Linked DNA regions of Arabidopsis thaliana. The protein of the gene in region 2 interacts with the protein of the main gene of each other region in a pairwise test. Each region holds a gene or a part of one and is shown on either strand. Other genes may lie near its edges.

Region 1 (8,258 bases), about 28 Mb from region 2:
GATTGATTGATTTGTGTGTTCCACTTATACAGACCTCGGGGACGATGTTAAGATTGAAAATATTGGACAACCAGCGAAGGTGATTAACGCGTTTGGACCAGAAGTTATTGGAGAAAACGTAGAAGGGAAGGTGTTAAGTTCCAATGTTGCAGAACACGATGGTAGACTCTATTACCAATTCGAGCTAGAGCCGCCTCATGTACTGATAACTGCAACAGCTGCCGGAAACCGCCTTTACTTGTTCAGTGTCACCGGAAACGGTAAGGCAAAACCTCTCTTCTAGTCAGAGATTTAAAGACAGAGCAAACACCTTTTGTTTGGTTTGTACACATAGTTAATTGCTCTGCTTATGTTTGATTCTATAGGTCTTCAATGGAAGAGACACTACAAGGATCTGAAGAGGATAGCTAGTTCATTCCGCATTGTTTAGACTTTAGAACTTTTTTGGATATATCAGATCTTCAACAAGTTACTCAAGTGTTTCTCAAGACTAAGAACACAAAGAGCGGTACATAAATGTGTATTTGTAAAAAGTTGAGAATCCTGTAATATTATACTAAACAACATACGAGCAGTGAGTTTGGCATACGGTTGTATGGATCTGGATTCATCAGAAAGAACCAAAACATGAAACAGAGTTCAAAAGCTGGCTTTTTTGAGTTCTTCAAAAACACAAATAATAAAACTTGGAAAAGGTGAAAAATATCTTATATAGTTTGGAGCTCTCAAAAACAGAATCACTAAACTTGGAAAAAAGAGCAAAATATCTGATATGGTTTTGATCAAATTAAAAGAGATGCAACTAAATAACTTTGCCACGTAATGTAAGACAAATAATCAAATAATTAAAGTTATAAAAAAAAAAAGTAAAAAAAAAAAGAAATAAGAAGGTCTAGGGTTCTTCACGCTGAAGAAAGAAAGCACAACTTTAAAAATCCAATCCGTACATTCAGACACAAACACACAAACTCTGATCTTGTCTCCGAAGGAGGTACAACACTGATCCATACTTTCTCGTTTTCTTTTTGACCTTAAATTCCACACTAGAGGAAGATAAAAGGTTTGAGATTACACAGCTTTTTATAATATACAAATTTATTCTCTTAATTATGAATCAGGCTTTGAGTTTAAGGTGAAAACTCAGCCGTTGATGATGGTGGCTAATTGAGCAGCGGGAGAGTCTCCGGTATTTTGTTGCCGGAGCTACTTCCCGGAAACATTCCTCTCTCATCATCTGTTGCCAGCAACGTATTCTTTCCCATCTGTAAGAAACTTTCTTACATTTCTTTTTTTTCTACAGCTACTAAACATTGCAAGAAATTAATCTATCTTGTAGAAAGCATTTTTTTTATTTGCAAATTTCACAAATTAAAAATACCGGGTTTTGAGTATCTTTCATCGGTGAGACATACCTTTCTTCTCTGACAGCTACTAAATTAACAAGAAAGATAGATTTTAAAAGCATTTTGTTATCACTTATCACATATTTAGGGTTTCACTATAATTGTCTAGTATCCATCAAAGTCCTTCAACTTTTAGTTTTCATGTACGTGTATATGTGTATCTCTCTATAACGGGGACGTATAAAGTGATTAATTAGCTTCAAGAGCAGAAGATATTGTGGTCATTGTTACCTGGCTAGCCAGAACCTGGTTCTCTTCTCTCAGCAATTTCTCCTGTTTGGAAAAGATCATAAGGTCATTAGTTTCTAACAACTTCTATAGCTATTTCCAAACATGTTTCCTTCTCGAAACATAAATCATCCTCATCCAAATTCGACACTTTATGAGGGAAAGGTTGGATTTGATCAAGAGTTTAAAACTGCTTGTTTTTTTAATTCTCATTAGGGTTTCACCTGAATGAAGCCAATACTAAATCAGGAACTAAGACAAGACCAAAAGATATATATATATATATATAGTAATCTGTAGACTCAGCAGGTTAATAGAATTCAAGAATCATCATAGCCTAGAATATGGCCTTTATCGAAAATAAAAACCAAAGCACTAACCTTTTCTTTAAGGGACTCGATATACTCCATCATCAGTTCTGCCTATAACAAGACATTAAGATTTATGTCAAAAGATTGTTCTAGGATAACTAACTAAAAAGAAGGTTTTGTGGAGTAATTGGTTGAATCACTTAGTAGCAGCACATATACCTTCCTAGCTCTACTTACGGACAGAGCAGTCTCAAGTTGTTCCTCCAGAGAAATTAGAGAATCTACACTTACATTATCGACATTTGGTTCTTCAAGCTTGCTGTATTCACAAGTAGACAAAAGAAAAAAAACATTTTTTTTATCAGAAGAAGAGGGGAGAAAAATGTGTCGTACTGCTAACCTTTGGACTGTTTCTAGTAACTCCTTGTGTGGAAGATAATTCTGAATTTTTTCTTCAAGATCCTGCACATGAAGAAAAGGAATGGTCAGAAAGATTGTGAAGTTCTTGTATTTTCCAGTAGACACAATAACTGTAACTCTAGAGAATTAAGTTCGGTGTTACGAGTTCAAAACATTGAGGTTTCTCCGGCTTGAACAGCGCTTCTATCCTTCATAACACCAAAAACCGCATCCAGAAGAATATTAGAATGACGTTCTTAGCTAATTACTTACTAAGGCTCTAAGTTCATCAGCATGTTGTATTTCATAACGATCAATGATCTTGGAAATGCTGGAGATAAAACAAAAATGCATTAGAACAATAATTTATGCAAAAACCATTTCAAAACTAAGAATCAGATACTGCATCAATAGAGGCCATTATTTAGAGAGAATGCACCAAAGTGAAAGAAAGCTTATATAATATGTTACATTTGCAACAATTTCTGTTACTAACCAACAGTTTTTGATAATCATCTTTACTTAACCAGGCATCTATATATAAAAATGATAGTAAGTATAAAAGCATTAAAAAAAACAATGTAAGTTACTATTAGTTACCCTATTTTTGAAGTTACTGCTTTAGATATATGTGTTCAAAATGTTTTATACTTCAAATGTAAATCTGAAACTCTGATCATCTGGTGCTCTAAAATTAAAATCTGAATTTACAATTTCAACTTTAAGATCCTGTTATATATCAACTTCGCAGCCAATATTGTCATTGTTTCGACTTCAAAAGGTTTTAGAAACTAAGTGCACACATTTTTAACTCATCCCCATGAGTTCGATTATCTACCTTCTTTTTCTTATCAAGGCTAAATCAGTTTTATAAAGAAGCTCTATTTTTGGTTCTTCAAAAAACTAATATCATGCAAAATGTATGATTGTATAGATTATAAATCACATCCTTCCAAAAGACAAAATCTTGATGAAATTCATGTTCATTTTAAGGGAAAATTTTCAAGAATTCAATGCAATCAGTTTATATTTTGACTAGTCAATCCAAGTTTTAGTTATTGACGCTTTCACACATAACGTCAAACGAATCGGAATACTGAAACCAAAAACCTTTGGCTAAATGATATCATGATACTCCAAAAAGGATAAACCAAGAAACTGATTTAGCATTTCCGGGAAGGTCATGACAGCTCTAATCCTATATATGTGTTGTCCATGATCTATTAATGCTATGATATGAATAGAGACTGGCTTCAAATTCACTTCAGTTATTACACGTTCTTATCTTTTTAGTAACATCTCAAGTTGTGACTTAGTAATTTTACATCAATCACAAAAAGAAGAAAAAATGAACAATTAGTAAGACGCATAAGACGACTAATCTCAACTAAAAACACTTTGCATAGTGCCACTTTGTTAAGGTATAAGAACTAAATAAAGAAACTAGCTACAACTAGAGCTTGACTATTGTAAAATGGAGACAGATAGATACGGTTCCTAATACTTCGTCTATAGTCTGTGCATTTTGTTGGTTACAAATTTAACAAATTTGCTTTCATGATCAAGCATTTATGGAGTCAACATCAAGGAAATGAGAAGGAGCTGTATATATACACATACTGACAAGAGTTACCTTTCCATTTCCTACTTATCCATTGATGATTTTATCTTAGGTCTATTAGAAAAAAAAAACTCACTTTTAGTCGCATTCAAAGTATTCTAAAAGAGAAGTGGATGAGATTTTTCTAGATACAAAAGTTCATGGGGTTAAAAATATCCACGACAAATAACAGAAGACTATTAAAGTCATTGAACATTTGGTTGTAGTCTAGTGGTTTCTCCCAATTAGTAAAATTGGCGACCGATTTCTACTTAATGAACCTACTAGGCCACTGACATATATATGGTAGCAGTAAAATCAGTTATAGTTTGAGTTTCTTTAGCAAAGAAATCCAAACTACAACATCTTAGAGAGCAACAAAGAGTCACTCAGTAAGACATAATGTATCTTGTATGGTGTCATAAACACACAACAAATTACGATTAAAAGGGTTAAAATCGATATCCAATTAGTTAAGTAATGAAGAATGTGTGGCGAGTATCAATGTGGAAACTTATCCCAGCACTACAATAAACCATCAAAATCAACTAGATAAACCTTATTCCTTAAAGAGAATTACAAAAGAAAAGATCTACAATACATTTTGGATCAACATAAAGTACAATGTGTTAACCAATTTGAACCAAAGATATTCGATTAATGTTACCACTAACCCCAAATAATCTCTCAACAAAACTACTTGAAGTGCATTGCAATATTGAATATAATTACCAAATCTCAAAATTTGAACAATCTAAACATATTGTTTCTTATATGAAAAAACGAAGCTTCAAAGTGAACAACAGATGGAACTAGCAATACAAAGATTACTTAAACAACATCAAGAACGAATCACCACGTGTAGAAAAGTTTCTTGAATAACATGCAATATTAAATTTCGTCACAAATGAAGGTAAAAAAAGAGATAAAAATGATTTTAAAATGAAAAAAAAAAAAACACGAAAAAAAAAACACGAAACGAACATCAAGAACATATCTTGGCGATCAAAATGTTTAGTCTTAAATTAGGTTAAAGCTTACGCATCTGCTATCTTCATACAGAAAACAAGGAGAAAATCTCAGTTGATTTGATGGAATCAAAAAGCCCTAGATTTGAAGCTTCTATATGGAGAAAGTAATTAAACAAAGTAAAAAAGCACAAAAATCGAGTGAGACCCAGAAAAGGAAAGTATCTTCTTACTCGTCACCGGAGGAAGAGTCATAGAGTTTTCCGGAGGCAGATACGACGACAACAGCGACGGAGGATTCACAGAGAATCGAAAGTTGTCGAGCTTTGTCGATGAGACCATTGCGTCGTTTGGAGAAAGTGACTTGTCGACTGCTTTTGTTCTCGATTCGCTTGATCTCGATTTTTCTTCTTCCCATGGCTTCAAATCTCCGATAAGGGTTATGCCCTAATTTAATCCTAATCTCCGGAGACGCTCAATGCTTTTTGCTTTTTATTCTTTTTTCTTGGTTTTTTTTTTCCTCCAACTCGTTTTTTTTTTTGGTTAAACGAGATAGAGAAAATAATAGTATTAAGCGAAACGATTGCGTTTTGAAGCCACTAAGAGGCAAATTTTTAAGCTTGTCGTTGTTAAAGACTTTTTAATCCAGTCGGTTAGACCGGTCCGAGTCCGATCATCATCCCCACCGAACAGAAATTGGTTTTTAAGGTTTTCTCTTTTTATTTGGAGGGTTTAAAAGTTATTTTATCTCATTGGTTTTGATCGGAAAGTAGTGCTTATGAATCGGGTAACGGTTAATTCAAGGATTTCAGTTATTATTGACGTAATTATATTAAAGATTGATCGGATAATCAAAACTACAATGCAAACTTTCACTAAAATGGTTTTGAATTCAAATATTTTTAAATCGATAATTTTCAATACGTTTGACTATCACCAATTTATTAAAAGTGATTAGTAACTTGACCACTATCAGTGTAAGATAATTGGTATTGAAAACATTATATTATCTAAAACTAAGAGCATATTTTAAAATGTTTGTTTAATTTCTTTGTTTTCTGAATCCATCTTGTCTTGATGCATTGGGATATTCAGATAGCACCTCCCCGCTCCTATGATGGCTCTCCGAGCGATTTTGACCATTTCACCAACTAGAAAGCCTTATCAAAATCTTTGTGCTTTCTTCCGTCTCCAAGAGTAACCATTACTTTATCGAGTTAGGTCGTAGGTTCTGCCGTGGCTCATTCATACTACGTCTCAAAACTGAGTTAGGGATGGTAACTAATTTGGCTTCCCCATTTTCAATGTTTGTTCGCTTACGCTATAAAGGTGAACCAGAATCAGCCCACGACCCTAACCGGATTAAACCGACATTGTTCTTCTTCCCAATCTCGTTTCGGCCCAATATTAAACCAACGAGCCAATACTCCCTTAAACGATTATTTGGGGCAAAAAGACTCTCAACTCTATTCACATGCCCATTAAAGGCCCGATATAATTTCACCGTCCAAAACTACAAATTCGTTTCGGCTTGCTTCATTTCTCAGCTTCTGGTTAATGGGTGGTAAATGATAGCTCTAAGAATAAAGGCTTTTCTCTACTACATAAGAAAAAAAAAAAGAGAAAAAAAGAAATAGCCCATCTCTACTTGTCCCTTTTATTGGCCTGATTTAGCTTATTCAAAAATAAGAAAAGAAATGGGTTTGTTAATAATAAATCAGTAATACTAATCTAACGGCTAATTGTCAAATCGTTGAGAAGACAGTCGAACGGTAAGTTTAATTTTAAAAAGATCAACATTATAGCCGTTGGTGAAGATTGCCAACAAGCCCTATAAATACTTCCACTAAACTTTTTTACAGCCATCCAAGTGGACCAATCTTTTTTATTTGGCTAAAATGTCAATTGAATTCAGATGGTATAGTTGCACACAAGAAAAATAAAAAATAAAAAAAATCAGATGGTATCAACAGTTTACATATTCACCCTTAATCAAAACGGAAAAAGAGAGCATAAAGCCATAAAGTAAAATTCAGTCTAAAAAGCTGTAACAATTTCTTAAATACAAACGACCCAATTTGTTGAGATGTGAAAAAGGCAAAAACAAGTCACTACATGAAATTGGATGTTGTAGGCCCAATTTGTTGAGATAGTAAAACCGAATCATTTTTTATCAAGCATTAGGTTGGAAATTGGTTGGCCCATAGAGTATGTAAAATCAAAGTAGAAATGGAGAAAAAGTGAAAAACAATGAAATCTTTCTTGTTTATTTTGATTTTTCTCAAAATTTACATCTTTTCGATTGTTATCATCTTATAGGTCTTTTGCAACTCTCTTGCCTTTGTCGTGCTTGTTCTGGTGGAGAAAGGAGTCGTTGTTTTGTGGGCTCTTGTGTTATGTTGTGAAATAGGTTTGGTGACATAAAGGCCCATTTCTATGATGAGCTTAAGCTAACCAAATTATACATTTATTGTTAGATTGCCTCTAACATTTTCACAATACCTTGTGGTTTGAGTCTTTGAGATACTGTTACCATAAGATAAGACCGAGATATAATAACCACGTGCTCTCTATTAAAATCCCAAGCGTGTGGGTCAGAGTCTAACTCGATTAGAGAGAAGAAAAAACTTGTTCGAGGCTTCGAAGAATGTCGATGTTAATGGCTGTCAAAACAACTTCACTCTGTTGTAGCAGCTTAAACCTTACAGCTTCACCAACATTCCGACGGAACCCACGCGCGGCGAGATTGGTGAATCCGACAGCGAGAATCCAAACACGTTTTCATCGCCTGATTGAAGAACAAGGCATTGTGCTTATGCCTGGATGCTACGATGCCTTATCCGCGGCTATTGTGCAGCAAACCGGATTCTCCGCTGGTTTTATATCCGGTTACGCCTTATCCGCTTCTCTCCTGGGAAAACCCGATTTCGGTTTGCTAACGTGCGCCACCTTTTTTTTTTTCTTTCTTTAGTAATTTTTTGTTTGTATGCTTTCGTTTTATTTGTGTTCTTTCGTCGTTTTAGACCACCGGAGATGGCTGCGACGGCAAGGTCGGTGTGTGCGTCAGCTCCTAATATACCCATCATTGCAGATGCTGGTAAAGTTGCAAAATTTTGATAGTATAATAAAGACATCATTAAAGAATGCAAGAAGCTTAACTAAAACCAAAAAAGGAAAAAAAACATTTAAAAACATTGAGTCGTTGATTCTTTACCAAAGATTGAAAGTATCAATCTTTCTTGGTTAGAGTCGCTTGCTTGCTTATAGTTCTCTTCATAGCTTTTTGAAAATAGTGGATTTGCTTGGTTATAGTTCTCTTCATAGGTTTCTTTTGATCTTTTCAAGATAC
Region 2 (4,537 bases):
CTATTAAGTTTTATAAATGATATTAAGATATGCGTTTCTTGAAAATAAATGTTTCATCTCATCGTATACCCTGAAACGTGTTATGTTTATGATTTAATTTTATGAATGTACCTATGCACAATTCTCGAATTATTCATCCCCCTCACCCTGAAATGTGTTATGTTTTGGTTATGCTGGTGCCTGGTAGACGAGAATACAGTTGTGTTAGTACCGTCTCCCTAAAGTTATATGTCACATCCTTTTTTGTATATAAAAAGGTGCGACAAGTTCTCCAATTGTTCTTCTTTGGACACCACACGAAAGCTAGTAGCTTTCATATGAGGCATGTGTATGTCATCGACAGATGTACATATCGAGACGTGTTGACTACATAATATTATAATATATGAGCACATACATGCATGTATGGGATCTATGAACATATATACTCCTTTTGGTGGACTCTATACTCATTGCTATAAACAAAGTGATGAAACATACATATTTCTGTTTATCAAGAGAATCTTGATTTTGGATCAGTTTGTTACTGGGGTATTAAATACAATCATTGTCACAGATGTTTTTCTTTCTCTCATTTGATATTTACCTTTGCTCTTATAAGTTATAACTAATTCAAGGAGCTAGTGTATATCACCGTAAAAGAGAGCGCGTGAGTAAAAAAGGTAAGTAGTGAGATAAGTTGTATTCCACGTGTCACTGTGGACGGCGAAAAACACACGTGCGACCCACCTGACACCAATACTTCTTTATCCCCCACGTCAACACGAAATCCATTGGCTAGGTTATGATACGATAATAGTTCAATTACCTTTTTTTAATACATAAAAAAATGTTTGTTTTGTCCTCCAAAAGCACGAATCAACCAATAGAAGTACAGACAATCAGAAGAGCGACAAGATAACAAACTTATTCAAGGACAACAACATCAGATCAATCTTTAGGGACTTGCGTTGAGGTCAAGATCCGGTTCCATTCGCAGCTTACAATCCACGGCGGAGGAAGTCTCAGGCTCTTCCACGGCGGTTTGAGGACCAATAGTCAACCCCATATCAATGGACTCAAACTGGTCAGGACAAACTCGATCAAGCTCCTCTTTCAACGCAATAACTTCAGGCAGATCTAAGAAAAATCCAGCAACCGCTTCAGCCACCCCCGGAGATAACATGTCGTGACAATCCGATGGAAGTGTTCCATCACGCGCCGTTTCGGAAAGGGTGTTGTTCACCGGAGAAGCCAAAGCATTCCCATCGTCTCCAACGAGAGGGAGGTTGGCATTTCCATCACTCACCGTCTCGGAAAGGTTGTTGTTCACCGGCGTCGCCGAAGAAATCCCATAGTATCCGATTAGAGGGAAGTTAGTAGTAGCTTTCGATCCTCGAAACCTTATGGCAGCGGAGTCGTAGGCTCTGGCGGCTTCCTCCCCCGTGTTGAAGGACCCGAGCCAGACCCGTTTTTTCTTTACCGGATCACGGATCTCCGCAGCATATCTCCCCCATGGTCTCCTCCTTACACCCCTGTAACGCACTTCCTTACTCTTTTCTCCGCCGTCATTCACGGCCAGGGCCTTAGTTACATTCTTTCTCTTCTTTACGCCCTTGTCACTCACTTCCTTACTCTTTTCTCCGCCGTCTTTCACGGCCACGGCCGTAGTGACATTCTCTTTTTCTGTGGTCATATTTTGGTTGGGGGAGAATAATTTAGATAAAGGACAAAACTATTGTTTTATAGAAGTGACGTAATCCCACAAAAGGACAAAGTGACAAAAATGTGGAAAGAAATGTCCACGTGGATTGACTGACGCGCCGCCTTAAAGAGAAAACAGTTTTATGACGCCTTTTTATGTTTTAACCTAAACGTCCCCGTTCTTGCGTCTCGCAGTTTTGCGCCATTTGTTGCTTGGGCTTTAACAGGTTATTATCTTTGGGCTTTTTCATATTTTATCTGAGAATCTGATAAACAAGTACTTAGAAATTATCCATGTCGAATATATACTTCGAGAAAGCTTGATGAATCTAAAATTGTATTCTTTGATACAAAAGTTATAATACATAAAAATTGAGTAGATGATACATTGCTACATTATAACAAAATTTGATGATTTATTATTACTCCACAATCTGCTTAGACTAATATTGGATGTCAAAAAAAGAAAATTCGACTAATATTAAGCATAATATGAAAATATAATGAGTTTAAGTTTCAAATTTTGAACGCGCCAATAAAATGTATACCGTTTTAAAAATCGCAAAAAATGAATTAGTGGTAATTTATAATCCAGTAATTTAGATAATAATCCAGAGTAAGATTTGTTTCTAATTTTCTCATTTAAATACCATTGTGAAGAATCTAAACCCTAATCTACCAGCGCGACTCTTCATCACGTCAAAGTTGTCAATTATTTTGAAAAACCCTAAGGAGATTCAAATTACGACACTATGTCGACGACGGCGAATACTAACGCGACGACTGCGCCGAAGCGTAAACCAGTGTTTGTGAAGGTGGATCAGCTCAAACCAGGAACCAGCGGCCATACTCTGATCGTCAAAGTCCTTGAATCGAATCCCGTTAAACCGGCGATTCGTAAAAGTTCGTTGACGCAGCAGCCAATTTCATCTCCTCGTATCGCTGAGTGCCTAATTGGTGACGATACTGGATGCATTCTTTTCACCGCTCGCAACGACCAAGGTAAGGATCTTAATTATTTACATATATAAGTTCTCTTGGTTAGGGTTTCGTAATCGTTTCTCTATCGTTTTCACTCGAAATTGCGTTCAATCTTTCCATAATTTCTCTGTTTCTAGGTTTATATATGCCTTGATTGGAATCTCTATGTTTGTGAAGATCTAAAACATTTATACTTCAGAGATTTTGATAAAGTTTAACTTTTTTTATAGATAATTTTGCTTATAGTTTAGTTTATTGATGAACAGAGTATATCTATTTATATATGTCTAAGCTTTGATTAGTGTTCAATATGTTCCACTTCATTAATCTCTAAGCTTTGATTAGTGTGTTTGTGTTTGACATTTATACAACTTCCTATTCAATATGTGAGAATATGTATGGTACTAATTAATGATGTTCTTTTGGGGTTGCAAATGCAGTTGATCTAATGAAGACTGGAGCAACAGTTATACTGAGGAATGCGAAGATCGACTTGTTCAAGGACACTATGAGAATGGCTGTTGACAGATGGGGACGCATTGAAATAACCGGTCCTGTTTCGTTCGAGGTTAACCGGGCCAACAATCTCTCTCTGGTCGAGTATGAAGTAATTACTGCTTAATGACTACAACCGGTGTCTGTCTCTACTTCTCTTCGTTATTATTTAATTTAAATTTTCAGAGAACTCTCTAGGTCACTGAGATTATATTCAGTTATGATTACTTTTGAGATTATGATGGTGTAGTTTTGGTCTTGCATAGTTCTCTTAAATTGGTATTATTGGTCTTTTGATTCTATTTTTAACACATACTCGTCGCTGGTATTAATCATGGTCATAAATTGAGATTAAGATAAACGTTAAAAAATTTTAGCATAAACATAATATAACTCACAGCTTTGATTTGTATAACTTAAAAGTGTTTTTACTTTCACTTTTCATAAAAGACAAGTAAATGGAGATTGCACAATATAATTAATTGCTCCAAAAAAGTGTTTTGTTTTCTCAAATACAATTTCCTTCTAAGGCTCATACTCTTCTTGACTACCCTCCAAGCTCTTGTAGTATTCCTCCATAGTTTCAAACTCGTTGGTATGATCATTTCCTCGAGCATTCTCATACCCGCGACTAGGGGTGTTTTCTGAATTCCTACCTCTTGTGTCGTAGAAATACTTACCGTTCTCCATAACCCTTGTGTCACTCATCCCCTGCTTCTCTTCTTCATTACCGTAACCTCTCCCATTGTCATTATAATTGTTAGTAGTGTAAGTGTATCCATTATTGTTGTTGTTGTTGTTGTACTTATCCTTTGGCTCATTGAGATCTTCCGAATCTTCAGATTCTTCTTCTTCCTCGAATGCCTCGGGTAACTTGGTATTCTTTTCTTCGTCAAATGTAGCCATCAATTTCTCAAACTCTTCGTCTGTTGTAGTGGATGAACTTGGCCATGACTCTTTGGTTTGAGGAATCATACCGGAACCAGGCCCGAAAGACCCATTTCCGAGTCTTCCATTAGCTTGGGCTAGTCCGGGAGCTGGAGCTGGAGATAGAGCGACATCTTTGTTGTTAGGACGATCTATGTGAGTGAACTTGCTAAAGAAGAGCTTACCCTCTCTAGCTTCAACATTGTGGACGATGAAGCAAAAAACAGCAATGAAACAAAAAATGGGTTTCAGAGCAAAAGAAGCCATCAATGAAGAGAGAATAATGTGAGAGAGTGAAAGATTTTAGGATTTGAGATGTGATTTTGGTGTGTGAGTGAGTTTATGTATAAATAGAATTAAGAAGTAGTTTTTTTTTTGGTATGATAAGTAAAGAAGTAGTTAAATGGCGAGCAAACATGCGAAGATTGAGGAGGGGACATTCGTCATTCGC

What was found. The genes of interacting proteins can lie anywhere in the genome.
Region 1: the proteins of ERF10 (region 2) and MAF1 interact in a two-hybrid assay, tested with the Arabidopsis thaliana proteins (one large-scale study listed by BioGRID).

What each region holds. Positions count from the first base shown.
Region 1 is NC_003070.9:28,952,748-28,961,005, reverse strand, and holds MAF1 (K-box region and MADS-box transcription factor family protein), read right to left. Parts: upstream 5,485-8,258; 5' UTR 5,328-5,484; coding exon 5,143-5,327; exon of another isoform or gene 2,696-5,142; coding exon of another isoform or gene 2,673-2,695; coding exon 2,615-2,672; intron 2,551-2,614; coding exon of another isoform or gene 2,505-2,550; intron 2,405-2,504; coding exon 2,162-2,404; intron 2,054-2,161; coding exon 2,012-2,053; coding exon of another isoform or gene 1,952-2,011; exon of another isoform or gene 1,856-1,951; coding exon of another isoform or gene 1,844-1,855; exon of another isoform or gene 1,677-1,843; coding exon 1,635-1,676; coding exon of another isoform or gene 1,593-1,634; exon of another isoform or gene 1,429-1,592; coding exon of another isoform or gene 1,396-1,428; exon of another isoform or gene 1,263-1,395; coding exon 1,161-1,262; 3' UTR 895-1,160; downstream 1-894. Other genes in the region: AT1G77090 (thylakoid lumenal protein (Mog1/PsbP/DUF1795-like photosystem II reaction center PsbP family protein)), read left to right, coding at 33-260, 366-430; AT1G77060 (Phosphoenolpyruvate carboxylase family protein), read left to right, coding at 7,557-7,849, 7,933-8,006, 8,255-8,258. UniProt on the Arabidopsis thaliana protein: Probable transcription factor involved in the negative regulation of flowering time in both long and short days, probably through the photoperiodic and vernalization pathways. Prevents premature flowering.
Region 2 is NC_003070.9:956,324-960,860, forward strand, and holds ERF10 (ERF domain protein 10), read right to left. Parts: upstream 2,061-4,537; 5' UTR 1,676-2,060; coding exon 938-1,675; 3' UTR 781-937; downstream 1-780. Other genes in the region: AT1G03810 (Nucleic acid-binding, OB-fold-like protein), read left to right, coding at 2,436-2,685, 3,105-3,286; AT1G03820 (E6-like protein), read right to left, coding at 3,685-4,353.